Linked DNA regions of Alligator mississippiensis. The protein of the gene in region 1 purifies or fractionates together with the protein of each later gene. This does not show direct contact. Links are inferred from orthologs where the notes say so. Each region holds a gene or a part of one and is shown on either strand. Other genes may lie near its edges. The genes, in order: SNX4 and SNX7.

Evidence for each region.
Region 2: the proteins of SNX4 (region 1) and SNX7 purify together in Homo sapiens (affinity purification with mass spectrometry; 3 studies listed by BioGRID and IntAct, counting the BioPlex papers as one, with this or other methods). This does not show direct contact. The link is inferred for Alligator mississippiensis from reciprocal best matches to the Homo sapiens genes SNX4 and SNX7.

Annotation. Positions count from the first base shown.
Region 1 is NC_081827.1:243,929,566-243,936,715, forward strand, and holds the start of SNX4 (sorting nexin-4), read left to right. Parts: upstream 1-4,150; 5' UTR 4,151-4,197; coding exon 4,198-4,284; intron 4,285-4,390; exon of another isoform or gene 4,391-4,488; intron 4,489-4,606; exon of another isoform or gene 4,607-4,738; intron 4,739-5,425; exon of another isoform or gene 5,426-5,512; intron 5,513-6,826; coding exon 6,827-6,942; intron 6,943-7,150. UniProt on the Homo sapiens protein: Involved in the regulation of endocytosis and in several stages of intracellular trafficking. Plays a role in recycling endocytosed transferrin receptor and prevent its degradation.
Region 2 is NC_081828.1:36,735,486-36,742,737, forward strand, and holds the start of SNX7 (sorting nexin-7), read left to right. Parts: upstream 1-3,985; 5' UTR 3,986-4,034; coding exon 4,035-4,148; intron 4,149-7,252. UniProt on the Homo sapiens protein: Involved in the regulation of endocytosis and in several stages of intracellular trafficking. Together with SNX4, involved in autophagosome assembly by regulating trafficking and recycling of phospholipid scramblase ATG9A.

The DNA.
Region 1 (7,150 bases):
TTAAGGTCCCTTCTGACCCTAACATCTATGAACTGTCTTGACAACTGATAAATCAGATTTTAAAAGACTTACAGCCATGATGGAGGCCCACAAGGCCTCTATGTCTAGTAATGTTAATTATTAACACTGTGTTCATAATTAAACAGAGATCCATGTTTAAAAGTCATGCGTGTCTGGTGGATGTGAGGCTGGTCGCTCAAACTCTTGAAGACCACCATGTCCATACACTGTGGCCAAACTGCAGCCAGGAGGGGTGGGGTGTGTGTGTGTTGGGGGGGGTTTACCTCTACTCCGGGTCACTCAGCACCCTCCCCACTCCACCCCGGGCTCTCCGGCTCTTGAACTTTGGTGGAGGATCGGATGTGGCTCCCAGGGCAAGTAGCTCTGGCCACCCCTGTTCTAGAGGAAGGGTGGCAAAAAAGGAGTGGGCATTACACTGTATATCAAGAATGAATATGGTTGCTCTGATGTTTAGGAAGAAGTGAGATGCAGAGTTGATTTATGTCATTGCATAAAAGTAGAAAGGGAAAAGAAGCAAGTGTAATGTCAGGGTACAGGTCTTCTCTCCACCTGAAGTGGGGGGGGGGGGGGGGGGGGGGGGGGAAGGATGCGGCTTTTATTGAACGACTAACAGAAGTACCCAAAAATAGGGCCTGGACTTTAATTATAGCAGGACAGAGAGCACGTAATGTTCTTTGACTGTGTAGGGGAAAAAGTCATTTAGGAGAGACTATTTGAGATCTGATTCAGACTAACAGCGAGGAACTTCTTGAGAACTGAAAGTTGGAAGGTAATTTAAGTAACAGTGATCATGAACTTATAGTGTTTGCTATTCTAAGGAAAGGAAAGCATGAGAGCAGCAGAATAATGACAATGGGCTTCAAAAAGCAGGGAAAGTAATAGGTAGGGCCTCTTTAGAAGGTAATCTAAGGAATAAAGGAGAGCTGGCAGTTAAAATACACAAGGACAATCTATCCTGAGGTGGAGGAAAGATGGGAAGTATCCTACCTAAGGGACCTATATGGGTGCATCAAAAGTCTATAATGACCTGAACATTAAGAATGGATTGTATAGAAACTGGAAATGGAAATGAACATAAAGGAATTGCACAAGCATGAAGGGAATAAGAACAAATCTGTTATTTTAATAGGACAAATACTGGACAAGACAGAGAAGGCTAAAGTATTCAAGACCTCCTTACTTCAGTCCTCACAATAAAAGACAATTATGACCAGGTACATAACACAATTAATGTTAGCAAGTGGACACAAGCACAGGCCACAAAACAGGAGAAGAACAGTTAAAGAATATTTCAATATGTTAGACAGACAAGGTTCTTTCGGTGAATCCGATATCTTTTATTAGACCAACTTAAATAGTTGGGAAAAAAATGTTAGCAAGCTAAAAAAAAAATATATTTTTTTCCAACTGTTTAAGTTGGTCTAAAAAAGATATCAAATTCACCCAAAGAACCTTGTCTGCCTATGTCCTTAGACCAACATGGCTACAACCAACACCCCTCAATATGTTAGATGTATTCAAGTTAGCAACAGTTCCTGATGAAATTCACTGTAGGATATCTAGGGAGCTGGCTGAAGCAGTTTTTGAACCAGGTGCAATTATGTCCAAGAACTTGAAGACTATGGGTGAAGTCCCAGAGGGCTGAAAAAGGGCAAATATAGTACCTACCTTTCAAAAGGGGAAGAAAGGAGGTAATTATAGATTGGCTAGGCCAGCATTGATAACTAGAGGGATTCAGTAACAATTTTTTCTACAATCAATTTATAAGCAGCTGCAGGACAAGCTGATAAAAACAGCCAGTTTGGCTGTACTGAGAACAAATGGTATCAAATTAAACTAATGTCCTCCTTGGACAGAGTAACTGGCTTGGTGGATATGGGGAAAACAATAGATGTGATATAACCTGATGTTAGAAATGCTTTTTGAGACTCTCCAGCATGACCGTCTTGTAAGCAAATTGGAGAAATATGGTCTAGAACAGTGGTTCTGAATTGGGGGTACACGTACCCCCAGGGGGTACGTGAAGCCTCATCAGGGGTACGTGAGATATATCTCATACATGGTCTAACACAGGTTGAAGGGCCTTAAAAAACATCTTGGCAACTTGAAATTGCTGGGGTTTTACTGCCATAAGACACGCATGCACATGGAAACCAGATATCCTACTGCTGCTCCATGCCTCAACCTCACACCAGAAACGTCACTCCGAACACCCATCACTCAGTCACGTTAGGGTGTAAGTGAAGTCTCACTCTGAGACCGAGGGGTACGTCGACTGAAAAAGGTTCAGAATTGCTGGTCTAGAGGAAGGTGGGCGCACAGTTCTCAACTCACCTTCAGACAGTTGAAAAACCTCACTCAAAGGGTCATTGTCAGTGGTTCGCTGTCAAACTGAGAGGTCCAGTGGCATCCCGAAGATGGCTCTATTGGGCCCAGTACCATACAAAACTTGAATTAATGACCTGGATCATGGAATTAAATGAACACTTACATAATTTGAAGATGTCAGCAAGCTGAGTGGGGTTGTAAGCACACTGAAGGACAAGATCAGAATTCAAAATTATACTGATACATTGGAAAAATAGCCCAAAATTAACCAGAGGAACTTCAGTAAAGAGAAGCGCCAGGGAAGGAAGATTCGCACACACAAATACAAAATGGAGACTGACTGGCTAGATACTAATACTGCAGAAAGGATGTGGGGGATCACAAACTAAATAGCGATGCAATGTGGTTACAAGTGGCAGCCTGGGATGCATGACCTGGAACGTGGTATGAAAGGCAGTGTCTTTGCTATGTTCGGCAGTGCTACCATTTATGTACATCCTCCCCCTGGCCCCACGAAATCCCAGACATGAATCGATGCAGTCACCTTAAGGTAGTGTTGAGCACCCGTTAATAAGCAAGGCTGAGACAAAGAGCCTGAGCGCCATGCTGTGTGAACCAGGAAAAGCACATATCTCTCAGGTGCAAATCTACCCTACCTTCTGCTTGATGTCAGACATATAGAGATACAGGCGTAGAGATATCTCTATCTATACAGCTAGATATCGATGTAGAGCACAAGCTTTCGTGGACCCAAGTGAATGTCATCAGATGCTGTGAAAGGGCTGTAGTACAGGCAGTCCTCGACTTACAACGTTTCGAGTTACAACGTCTATAAATTGACGCCCTGTTTTGACTTTACAACGCCAGTTTCGACGATCCGATGCAATGCCACGCCAGCGAACAAGTTCGCTGCGTCGCTCATCTCCCTGGAGAACGTCTGTCCACGCTTCCTTGGACGCTTTCTTTAAGCAAGCGGACGAGACTCCCGAAAACCTGCAGCCGAGACTCCCGAGACGACTCCAGCCGAGAGCCCTTCAACAAGTCCAACTAAGAGGCCTTCGAAAAGTCCAGTAAAGTCGCCTCAAAGAAGTCCTTCCAAATCAAGATGATTGCTATTTACAGTCTAAATACATGAATGTAGCTATATTACTCATCTATAATTGATCGAGTACAAAATTTGGGGGTATTTTTAGTGAAAACAGGGTATCGGGCCTGGGTTCAGGAACCGATCCTCCATTTATAACATTGTTTCTTATGAGAAAATCAGTTCCAAGTGGTAACGTTTCGACTTAAGACGCGGTTTTCAGGAACCGATTGTGTCGCAAGGCCGAGGACTGCCTGCGTAGCACCAAACATTCGTTACCCGCGAGGTAAATTCGCTCGGACGCGATCGGCAGCGGCGTCGCGCGCTGAAATCGAGTCTCCGGCGCGGATCCACGCTCGCTGCTGGCGCCACGCGGTCCTGTAGTCGCCGACAGCGGCGGGCGAGGACCGAAATCGTCTCGTAAACGCGGTCGAAACGATCAGCACCATCCGGGCCATTTTTTGGTGATGTGGTAAAGCGGGTCCAGTTTCCAGGGGCGTCAAGCGAGGGAAACGCGCACCTCAGTACGGAGGGGCTGTTGCTCGTAACTTTTGCGAGCTGAGCTCTATATAAAGGTTATAAAGAGTGTGTGTGTGTGTGTGTACGTGTACACACACGCGTGTGAGGGGAGCCGTCCAAACCACCGCTTCCCTCCTCCTCCTCCTCCTCCTCGGGACGCCCGGCGCCTCAGGCCGGCGGAGGCGGAGGCGGTGTCGGTGCGGGAGGCGGTGCCGGCGGGCGGGCGGGCGAGCCGGGCCGAGCCCATGGAGAGGAGCCGGGAGGACGGGCCCGAGCCGCCGCCGCTACCGCCCGAGGAGCCGGCGGCGGAGCAGCGCGGCCGAGCCGCAGCGGTGAGGGGCTGAGGGGGGCTGCGCGCCGGGGCGGCGCGGGCGGGCGGGCGGCGCTGCGGCCTAGCAGGCCCGGCAGAGCCCCGTGCTCGCGTAGCGTGACCGCCGCCCTCCAGCCTCCCTCCAGCGGGCGGGGCCGAGGGGGCAGCGCGGGGCCGGCCTGGGTTAAGAAAACAAACCTCGCAGCGAAGTGCCCCGATACCGCAGGTTATTTCCTTCCCCGTGGCTGTCAGGAGCAGTGCCCTGCGTCCCCATGACCCCCACAGCACGTGTGCCAGGGTCGCCTGGTAATTAGCCCCCGCCTCATTAGGGTGCTAGTTGATTACCTTATCCTCCAAACGCTCAGGAGCCCCTGGGACGTGTTACCTCGCCGCCGCTGCGGCGTGGGGAGAAACATTTGAACCGAACCCCCCGAATACGTGGAGCCGGCGGCGCGAGACGGTCCGCGACACAAAGTGTGCGTTTAAAAAGCAACGTTTAGCTCCAAAGACAACGTAGGGGGTGCTCATTATTCTCATTATTAGCGGTTAATTAAAAAATGCAGCCGCTAAGATCATTATTCAGGTTACTTCTCTCTCCGGCTGGCTCCCGACTTTCCGTAGCGTTATCTTAATTTTCCAGGATTTCTTGCTCTTTCTCGTGGTATTGGCTTAAATCGGCAAGTAGGAAGCCTTGATTTTTTGAAAAAAAAAAATATATAAATATGAATTTTGCGTCGCGTTTCTACTCGTTGCCTAGACAGAAGCGGATGCCGTCTAGCCCTTCGAGCGTGCAATTTTGCGGTGAAATTTGGCCGCGATGCTAAACTTGTATTGTGATTCATTAGGAGGACGCGCTGGATCCGTCCTGTGGTTTAACGTACGTTTGTCTGGATTCTCCACTTTTTGTGCACCTTTTCCTGCCGAGACCCCGTAGGAATAGTAGCGCTGTAGATGCGAAGTTGACTGAAGACCGCTGTGGCCGAGAGAGCGCCAGGGGGGCGCTCGCCACTTAGGGGCTATTGCAGCGGGGAGAAGTTTCCCCCTCGGGACTCATTTTAAGGGGGAAGGTGGGTGGCGGAGCACCTCCATCCCGCGCTTGCCACTTTAAGGGCTGAAGCAGGCAGCCTGCAGGTGCCTGATGAGGGTGGCCATTTTCAAACAAAGCCCAGCCAGGAGAGAGGGTAGTCTGCTTCCTGCAGTCGAGGGAGTAGTATCACCCAGCTCTCTTGCTAATCAGGGATATTTTAGAGGTAAGGGTGGGGGTTATGGGGATGGAGGAGGCTTCATTGGTCCTGGGCATGATCTGAAACTGTCCTCCTGCTGGGGTAGGGAGACCTGGTGGTCCTGCCATTGGCAGGGTAGGGCTGCTTTAATGCCGGGATTGAGAGCCTCCCCAGTGTAAGGTGGGTTGGGGTGCCTAAACCCCTGCCGCCACCATCCAGTGAGTTACTGTAACAGCGGAGGGAAGTAGGGCCGGGCGTGCCCATGTGGGGCACCTGAGCCCGTTAGGGGTATAAGAGCCTGGAGAAAGGGTAGTGGGGCCAGGGGTACCTAAGCCTGTTGGGTGAAAGTCACGTGAGCTCCAGGAAGGGGTGAGAGTTGGAGGGCCTGGTGTGTGCTTCCAGAGAGGAGGCTGGGTGCTAGGCCAAGTAAGTTGTGGCCCTGGTGAGAGGGATGAGTAGGTTGTGCCCCTGGAGAGGAGGTTTGGCTTGGTCCAGGTAAGCCTTAGGGCACCTGAGGCTGCAATTGGGCCTCAGGCCTTAGAGGTGGTGGAGTGAGAGCTGCTTTTAAACGGGGTGTCATCATTCCTTAATGGGAATAGCTGGGGTGTGATATCTGGCATGAGAAAAGGATGGAGTTGGCCTAGTGTTTTGTGAATCGCTCAGTCCTGTTCAGGTGAGGGCTGTGGGAGAGGCCTGAAAGACTGTGCCAGGGCTGACTGAGGGGTGCCCGAGGATCTCCATGAGTAGGGTGGTATGAGTATGGCTGTGAAGAGGGTGGTGTGATAGACTGGGTGAGAGCTGGTGGAGTGAGAGGGGTGGTGTGTATGTGGCCTGTAGCAGGGCAGAATGCAAGAGGCTCAACACTGCTGGGATGTTGCACAGCTGTGAGAACCATCTGTGAGGCTTAGGATGCATATAAAGGGAGGTTGGAGGATGTACATTAGGCCCTTGTTAGGCGGGCGGCTGCCCCGATAACTAACAACTTCATTAGTTACCACCAAGGTGTAACAGTGGGCGGCTTGCCCAAAGACAAGTGGGTGGCCAGCACTGACTGGCTGGAGGGGAGTTCCACATGTCACAACAGCTGTCTGGCTCCTGACGCAAGAGCAGGCAAGGGAATTTTGTATGTGGAAGTATGGCGAGACATACAGGGCATGAAGACTTAAACTCAAGAAATGCATATATACTTAATTTTGCATGCTGGGTAGTACTGTTGATCTCCTTAGTAAGACAGGTCTCAGTTCTGCAGGCTAAGTAACAAGGGTGGGGAAAAGAGGAAGGCATAGTTAACAAATCAATTTCTATGTAATGGATGTGATATGCAGCCTTTCTTTTTTTAAGATGGAAGACTGTTTATTGAAGAAAATAGAAATCAGTGTCTCAGAAGCAGAAAAACGGACTGGAAGAAATGCCGTGAACATGCAAGAAACCTACACTGCTTACCTCATTGAGACAAGGTACCTAACAGTAAGCTGATAATGATAATAACATTTCATTTTAAACTTCTGGTTAGGTTCAAGCACAACTTGAGTGAGAGAACTGAATTGGTTTCCTGTTTGTCATGCCAAATCTGTCTATTAAAAAAATAAATAAATAAATAATACAACCTCTTCACGTGACTACATGATAAAAAGAGAGAGATGCTCCAGATGCACAACTAATCCT
Region 2 (7,252 bases), on another chromosome or scaffold:
CCTTTTTGAGTGATCACAGCAGGGATGTAGACAGCAATGGCAATATGGCTTCTGCTTTTCTAACAGTAAGTCCTTGAGATGATTAGAAGTCCAAATAAGTGTATTAAATACAGCAAGAGTGCAATTTCCTAGAGTGAAGTACAATGAATACCTTTTTCTCACAGATTGTACTTCAAATATAGATAAAACAGAGAGAGATAAGCACTACCAGTCAGGAATCTTAATACATGTCTCAGTAAGCTTGATTAATAAGATAATAAAAAAGCTATAATAAGGGAAAAATCCAATTAAAGTAACTTGTGAGACTTCTCTCGCACAGAAATAAAAAACCAAGATCTGTAAAACTTTGAAAAATTGGAAAGATACAGATGAGAGCCTTAGCATTTGAGGCTACAGTATATCAGTTTTATCCTCTCTTTGACTGAGTGTTCCTTAGTTTATTGGGTTTTTCCTCTGCTGATGTGTTCTTTCCTAGAATTCTTGTTCTTTTAAAATGTATTTTTCTTGTTTGTTTGTATTTTCTCTCTGCATAGCATCTGAATATAAACATATTAATAATTTTAGCACCACAGAGCTAAAAGAAGACCAACAGGTTCGCAATATAATGTTTTGTATTCACAATACGAATATAAAGAGGGCAAAAAACTTTTGTCCACTACTCAGATTAAACAGAAGTGATCAGATGATTGGCTGCGCAAAGCTTATCACTGGTGCATGATGGCTTTCAAATGAGCATCCAACATATTTCTTAGCTTTAATTAAGAGCTGGAGGATTAGTGACAGATTAGGGACAGTAGAAGAGGTCAAGGGCTGGGAGGCTGGTTAGGTTGTTGGACAGAAGTAGGAACGGAAAGGGCTTTGGAGCACCAGAGTAAAAGATACTCCTCAAGAGTCCTGAGTCTGCACTTCTCTGCTGTCTGCAAACAGCTGTGAAATTCACTGGAAAAGTGCATATTTTATTTCCTTCTAGTGGCCAGACCACTATTACTGCTACCAGTTACTCTGTTATTTCCATGGTAGAGCAGCACTTTGAATAGAAAAGTGATAACATTAGTTGAAAATGAATATTGATCCTTATACTAGAATTGCTCAGGTTTTTTTTTTTAAGTCAGGAAATTATATTTCAAACCTTGGTTAAGTTTATAAATTCAGAAAGTCCACAATTAGGAAGTGATAGAATTAACCTTAAATCAGGTCTAGGTAATATTTATTCAGCCCTTGTGTGTACATCTGATGATATTGGTTTTGATTACATAGTCACATGTTTTTCCCTTGTTTGAATGAAGTTCAAGTAAGTATCCAATTTTTTTTATCTGTCTCATTTAATACATGACCCAAGACCTCATTTATTGTGCAGCACTGAATACTAATGAATTGCTTCATGGGCTATTCTTCATTGCTTCACAAATGTGAATAGATTACTTTCATAACACGCCTCTGGGAGTGGGGAATATTATTATTCCCATTTTCCAAGCAGGGACTGAGGTACAGAGAAGTAAGACCAAAACTGTCCATTGATTTAGGGTTCCCAGCTGCACGCATCTAGTGCCTTAGGGTGTGTGTAGATGAAACGGGGGCCCTATATTGAAGCGGTGGGTTTTTAAAAACACTGCTTCAATTTAGGACAAAGTAAACCCCTGTGTTGTGTACACCTGTATCTTACCTGTCTCTCTGGTGGCAGAGAGGGGAAGGCGAGCTGCTGGCAGGCAGAGTGGTCCCTGGGCTGTAGGCGGGGGGTGGGACCCTGGTGCTTTCTTCTGCGGCAGTGGTGGCCCCCCCATCCCAGGCAGCACCCGCCCGCAGGTGCCTGGCTCAGGCGGTCCTGGGGGGCACTGCAGCTGCGGAGGGAAGGACTGGATTCCTACACAGCCCATGCAGACAGGCAGGCTCCAGTGGGGAAAAAAAAAAGATCAGGCTGCTGCTTTTTTGTTTTGTTTGGTGGAGCCTGCCCTCCCGGGCTGCTGCCAGGCTGCCTGCACAGCCCCTGAACTGGATGGAGCCTGGTGCTTCTCTCCACAGCTATAGGGCAAACTCTTTGGAGCTGTTTTAGTTTGCTGCACCCTAAAGTCATTTAAGGCGCATTATGCCACTGAATGTACTACAGTGGCTGGAATTAATGCAATTCCGGCAGCAATACACTGTTGACATGTGCAAACACCAACACCATTAAAGCGGTGCCAAAGCATTTAACCCACTTTAAAGTGTCATGCACACATGCTCCTTGTTTCACCTACACATGCCCTTAGAATTTTATACTACATTCTAGGTTTAAAACACAACTCCCATTGAATTTAGGTATGCCACATTGGACATCCAGAAAATGTGGTGCACAAATTATGATGGCCAGCTGTGAAAAGTTTGGTTTAATGATTTGCCTGACATCAGACAGAGATCCTGTGGTTCAGGCAGAGAGAGATCCCAGTTCTCCAAGGTGGCATTCAACTTCACAAATAATACGAACATCCTTTCTTTTCTTCCAAAATCCACATGCATCTTACCATCTCTGCAATAAACAAGGCAAATTTTCTACAGATAACAGCCTCATCTGCTTCATATTTTGGCTTCATTTGCAGAGAACCATCCACGCTTTGCACTGAATGAGGCAAGAGTGCTGTGGAAAATTTAGTATACAGTCATATAATTAAAGAACACATCATAATGTATAAGCACAAGGGTGATGACTTAGGTACGGTGGGGCAGCCTTAATACTGGTATCTTCTAATTTTTGAATACTTGACTTTGCAACTTTAACATTTTTAATGTCTTTCTCTGGATGTAATGTATTGGTATGTGAAAGTTGCAGTAGGTGCTATGAAGTGAGTCTGTGACCCAAAGACAATCCCTGACCTCATAAAGTCAATGAATGCGCCTTCTTTCAGGGTCAACAGAAAGAGCAATTAGGCCCTTTCATTAGAGGAGACAGCTACAAACATAGCAAGACTATCCAAGGGATATGACAGGTCAGATCCAAGCCATATATTTTATGATTGCTAATGCAGAAGCCTGTAGATTAGTTTCACAGCTGCGTGCGTTAGAGACAGTGAGGCAGAGCAGCAGTGGTGAACGTGCGCGGGGGAGAAACAGAACATAGGCACCCAGCTCACTTGGAACGAAACTGCCTGCAGTCCTCTGCGCCTGTGAAGCGGGACTTTGTGTACGTGTTTCTTCAGTAACAGAACTGCCCTAACAAATAGCCCTGACGTAGGACCCGCCCCCCCCCCTTCAATTCATCATTTTGGCCAAAAGAGTAACTAAAAGTGTGTGTGTGTGGAGTAACTAAGGGTGCGTGAGTGCACACGTGTGGAGTAACTGTGTGTGAGTGCGTGTGCGGAGTAACGGTGTATGGATGCATGTGTGTCTACTCGAGGGTAACTGTGCGTGTGCGTAAGCCCCTGAGAAACTGAGAGGGAGAGAGAGAGACACACAGAGTGTGTAAGCCCCCGAATTCATCATTTGGGCCAAAAGAGTAACTAAGGGTGCGCGTGTGCCTGTGTAGGGAGTACGTGCACGGTGTGTACACGCGAACTTTTGAACAAGGTCAGCTGAGTGCAGCCCAGGCAGGCCCCGAGAGCAGCGGTTCGCAGCCCGCCGCGCCACGCACACAACCCGCCAGTGGGGCGCGCTAAAAGATTTATTGTCATTACTTTATATGACAAACTTTTATCATACTTTATATGACAAAAGTTTGCTGGTGGTACTGAAGGTCGAACCGAAACATCTGGTGGCGGTACTGACGGCTGTGTCGTGTTTAGGAGATGGTGCGCAGTGTCAAGAGTTTGGCAAGCGCTGCCCTCGAGCCCCCGCCCCCGGCAGCTTCTCGGCTGCGTTTCCCTGCCCCGCGCAGCTCGCGGCCGCGACCGCGGCCCCGGTCCCCGCCCCCGGCGGAAGGAAGGGAGGGCGGCCAGGCTGGCTCCCCCTTCGGCCGCCGCTTCCAGTCCTGCGCGCTGCGGCGGGGCGGGGCGGGGCGGGCGCCGCAGGCAGCCAATTGGTGCGCCCGGGGGAGCGGAGCGGCCGCCCGGGTTCGGCGGGGAAGGATGGAGCCGGAGAGCGGGGAAGCGGCGCCGCCGCCGCCCTGCGCCGAGCCGCCCGGCTCCCCGGACGTGCTGGCGTTTGACGACGACGAGGAGGACCTGGAGGTCTTCAGCAAGGTAGGGGGCGAGGCGCGCCCTCCCTGCCCTTTGCCTCGCATCCCTGGCAAGTGTGCAAAGCGCAGGCAGCAGCACGGGCCCCGGCCCGGCCCTGGCACACGGGGACACTGCTGCTGCCCTCGGAGAGCTCCTCGGAGCCGGGCCCCGCTCGCCGCCGGCTGCGGAGCGCAGTTGGAGGCGGACACGGTGGCTGGGAGCTGGCGAGGCCGCCTGGCCCGCTCCTGCCTTGTGCCGTCCAGCCCTGCCGCTGCCCCGGCTCCTGTCCGCCGCGGCAAAGGGGGCTTCCGCCCCAACAGCCTGCAGGCAGGCACAAGGCCGGCTCCGCTCACAAACCCGCAGTGCTGCCATGGTGTTTTGGTGGGGGGAAGGGGGGAAAAGAGGTGTTCTTCTCTCACATTCCCCATCGATTAGATACAGAAGGGTTTTGTGGCTTTAAATAGTTTCCACGTTAATCTGTAGAGCCTAGCCTACAAAATATAAACCACACTCAGCCAACAGTTCATTACAACAGTCTTGGAAGGATTGGAGGACAGAGCCAAGATGATCTGGGAACTAAGGAGGGAAAGAGCGTGGCTTTGCAGAGCGTCTCCACGGCCTCTGCCAAGTTCCTTCTCCCTTTCTGCCAGCTAAGGAGCGAGCCCTTGGATGACTTCTCGTCTTTGCTTGAGGTGCTCCCCACCACATTAAATTAAGTAGAGCCACTTCTTCAGTGGCTATTTTGGAAACTAAAAGCCTGTCTCTCAACCATTCCCCTTATGGTGGCATTTGTGGTTGGGCGGCACTCTTTGGTAGATTTGTCCATGGGCGCAAACTCCACTCTCTCACTTTGCTGTTTATTATCATGCAAGCAGTTGGCCTGGGTGGCGTGGGTGAGTCTGTGTTACTATGAAAAGCCTACCAGGTAGAGGCAGGAACCAGTAGGTACACTTCATGGAAAGCCTAGTTATCCTTCAGCCCTTCCTGTACTAAACTTTGTGCTCCTAAACTTCCAGAAGCAATTGATCTGTTAGAGATTTTTGTCTTGACTGCTTGTGTTGACATATCTAATAGGCAACTCCTCTTTAAAATGATCATTTAATAATTTTCAGTAAGTGTAAATAAATAACTACTGGGACTTGTGATTAAGTTACAGGACTTGTATACAAATGTATGTATCTATATTAGACTACTATGTGGGTTTCAGTTATGTAATGTGCCTGCAATATTTAAGCTCTGTAATATGCGCATTTCAGAATAGTTTCAATTTTTTTTCCAATAACAGTTTAAAATGTGTATATTATCTATTTTTCTCAATTTATACACTGATATTTTGCTTTGGTACCAAGGCAATAAATTGATTAAATGTGTGCACACGGAGATACACCATTAACTGTGTTCAATAATCTCAGACTGCAATGGAACCACTCTGTAGGAAGCCAGCATTGCCAACTCTTTTGCTTTTTTATCATTAATCTCTTGATATTTGTTGTCTAATACTCCAGTTCCTGGAGTCTATAATATTAATAATCAGTTGGGAAAGAGGATGAAAGGGTTGAAAACATGATTGAAGTTATCCAAAAAGCTCAAAATCTAGTTTAACCGCCCCCCCCCCCCCAAAAAAAAACCCCAACAAAGCAAATCTTATGATTGAGGCCCGACCAATTTTTCACTATGTTGGTAGTAATAATAGGGGTAGGCATTTGAAAGAGTTTGCAGGCTACTTGCTTTTTAGGGCCTAATTTTGGATTTGGCTTCAAAAAGAGTGGTCCTTTGTGTTGTCTGGGTGCCTGCATACAAGGCCTGAGCGGTAACACCATGACCTTATTTTATTGTACTATGGTTTTGTAGAATCCTTTGTGCTTTCACACCTTGGATGGATACAGTTCTCTTCCCTCTTGCATGAACAAATATTACAATTCCAACCGGTTGGCTTTTGTTGGTTGGTAATTTTTTTTTTTCCCCCCACATACGATTTTTTGTTTTAACTGGTGAAATGCCCAGTGATGTTTCTAAAGTGTAGAAGCTGAAATAAAACTTTAAAAAGAAATTAAGTATATGCAGGTACACTTTTACTCAGCGCATTAATATATCAATCCAACATACCAGAAAGTGATTTTTTCCTTACCACTTAAGTGCTGGTAGAGAATATGCTACTAAATCTGTTTGCTGAATAAAGACTAAAGAAAATAAATGTACATGTAGGGTGACCATTTTTTAGGGGAATCCAGGACACTGCCCTCTTCCCCTCCCCAAGTCAGCAGCATTGTTGCAGGCCAAAGCAGACAGGCAGGGGCACAGGGTACAGTCCAGTGGGGAGGTGGAGCAGCATGGTATGGTGGGTGGGCAGACAGGCACCCCTGCTGCTGTGTGAGGAAGGCAGGTAGGCTGGAGCAGGTGCCACCCCACCCACACATGCCTGGCCTGGCTCCTCCTGAGCAGCAGCTGGAGGTGGGCTGGGCACTGCTCCAGTCCACCTGGCTTGCTCCCGCACAACAGTAGTGGTGCCTGCCCAACCACCTGCCTAGAACATCATGCTGCTCCACCTCCCCACCAGACTGCCCCCCACATCCCTGAGATTCCAGGACTTTTGTTTCAATTTCCACCAACTGGCCAGGACTGTCCCATGAAATCTGAGACTGTCCTGGCCAAATCTGATACAGTATATTGGATGTTAATGTAATAGCCACCTACCCTATGAGCCTCAAGTTTCTAAGTCTACAAAATTAAAACTGAAGTGTCAGATTACAGACAGAAGACATTAAATATCTTTCTTATTTGAAAAGGTTTATAGATTTGCTTACCAAATTTATGGAAAGTAACATTTTATTGTATCAGCATTAGGTTTGTTTTGATTGCATGGATTGTAACCTCTGGATGGAGATTGCAGACATGAATCATTTATGAGTTGTGGATCATAAAAAAAAGTAAAAGAAAAAATCTGATAACACTTCAGAATAATAGCCCAGGTAGTCAGCTAATACTGAGATAGAGTTCAGTGCAATGTGTTTGGGGTCAGATGTCACATAGGACTGATCATAATTAAAACTGAACATGCATTTTCAGAATTTCAGCAAACCTCATTTCTGTTAAGAAGGTACTGTGGAGAATATATTGGGGAGAAACAT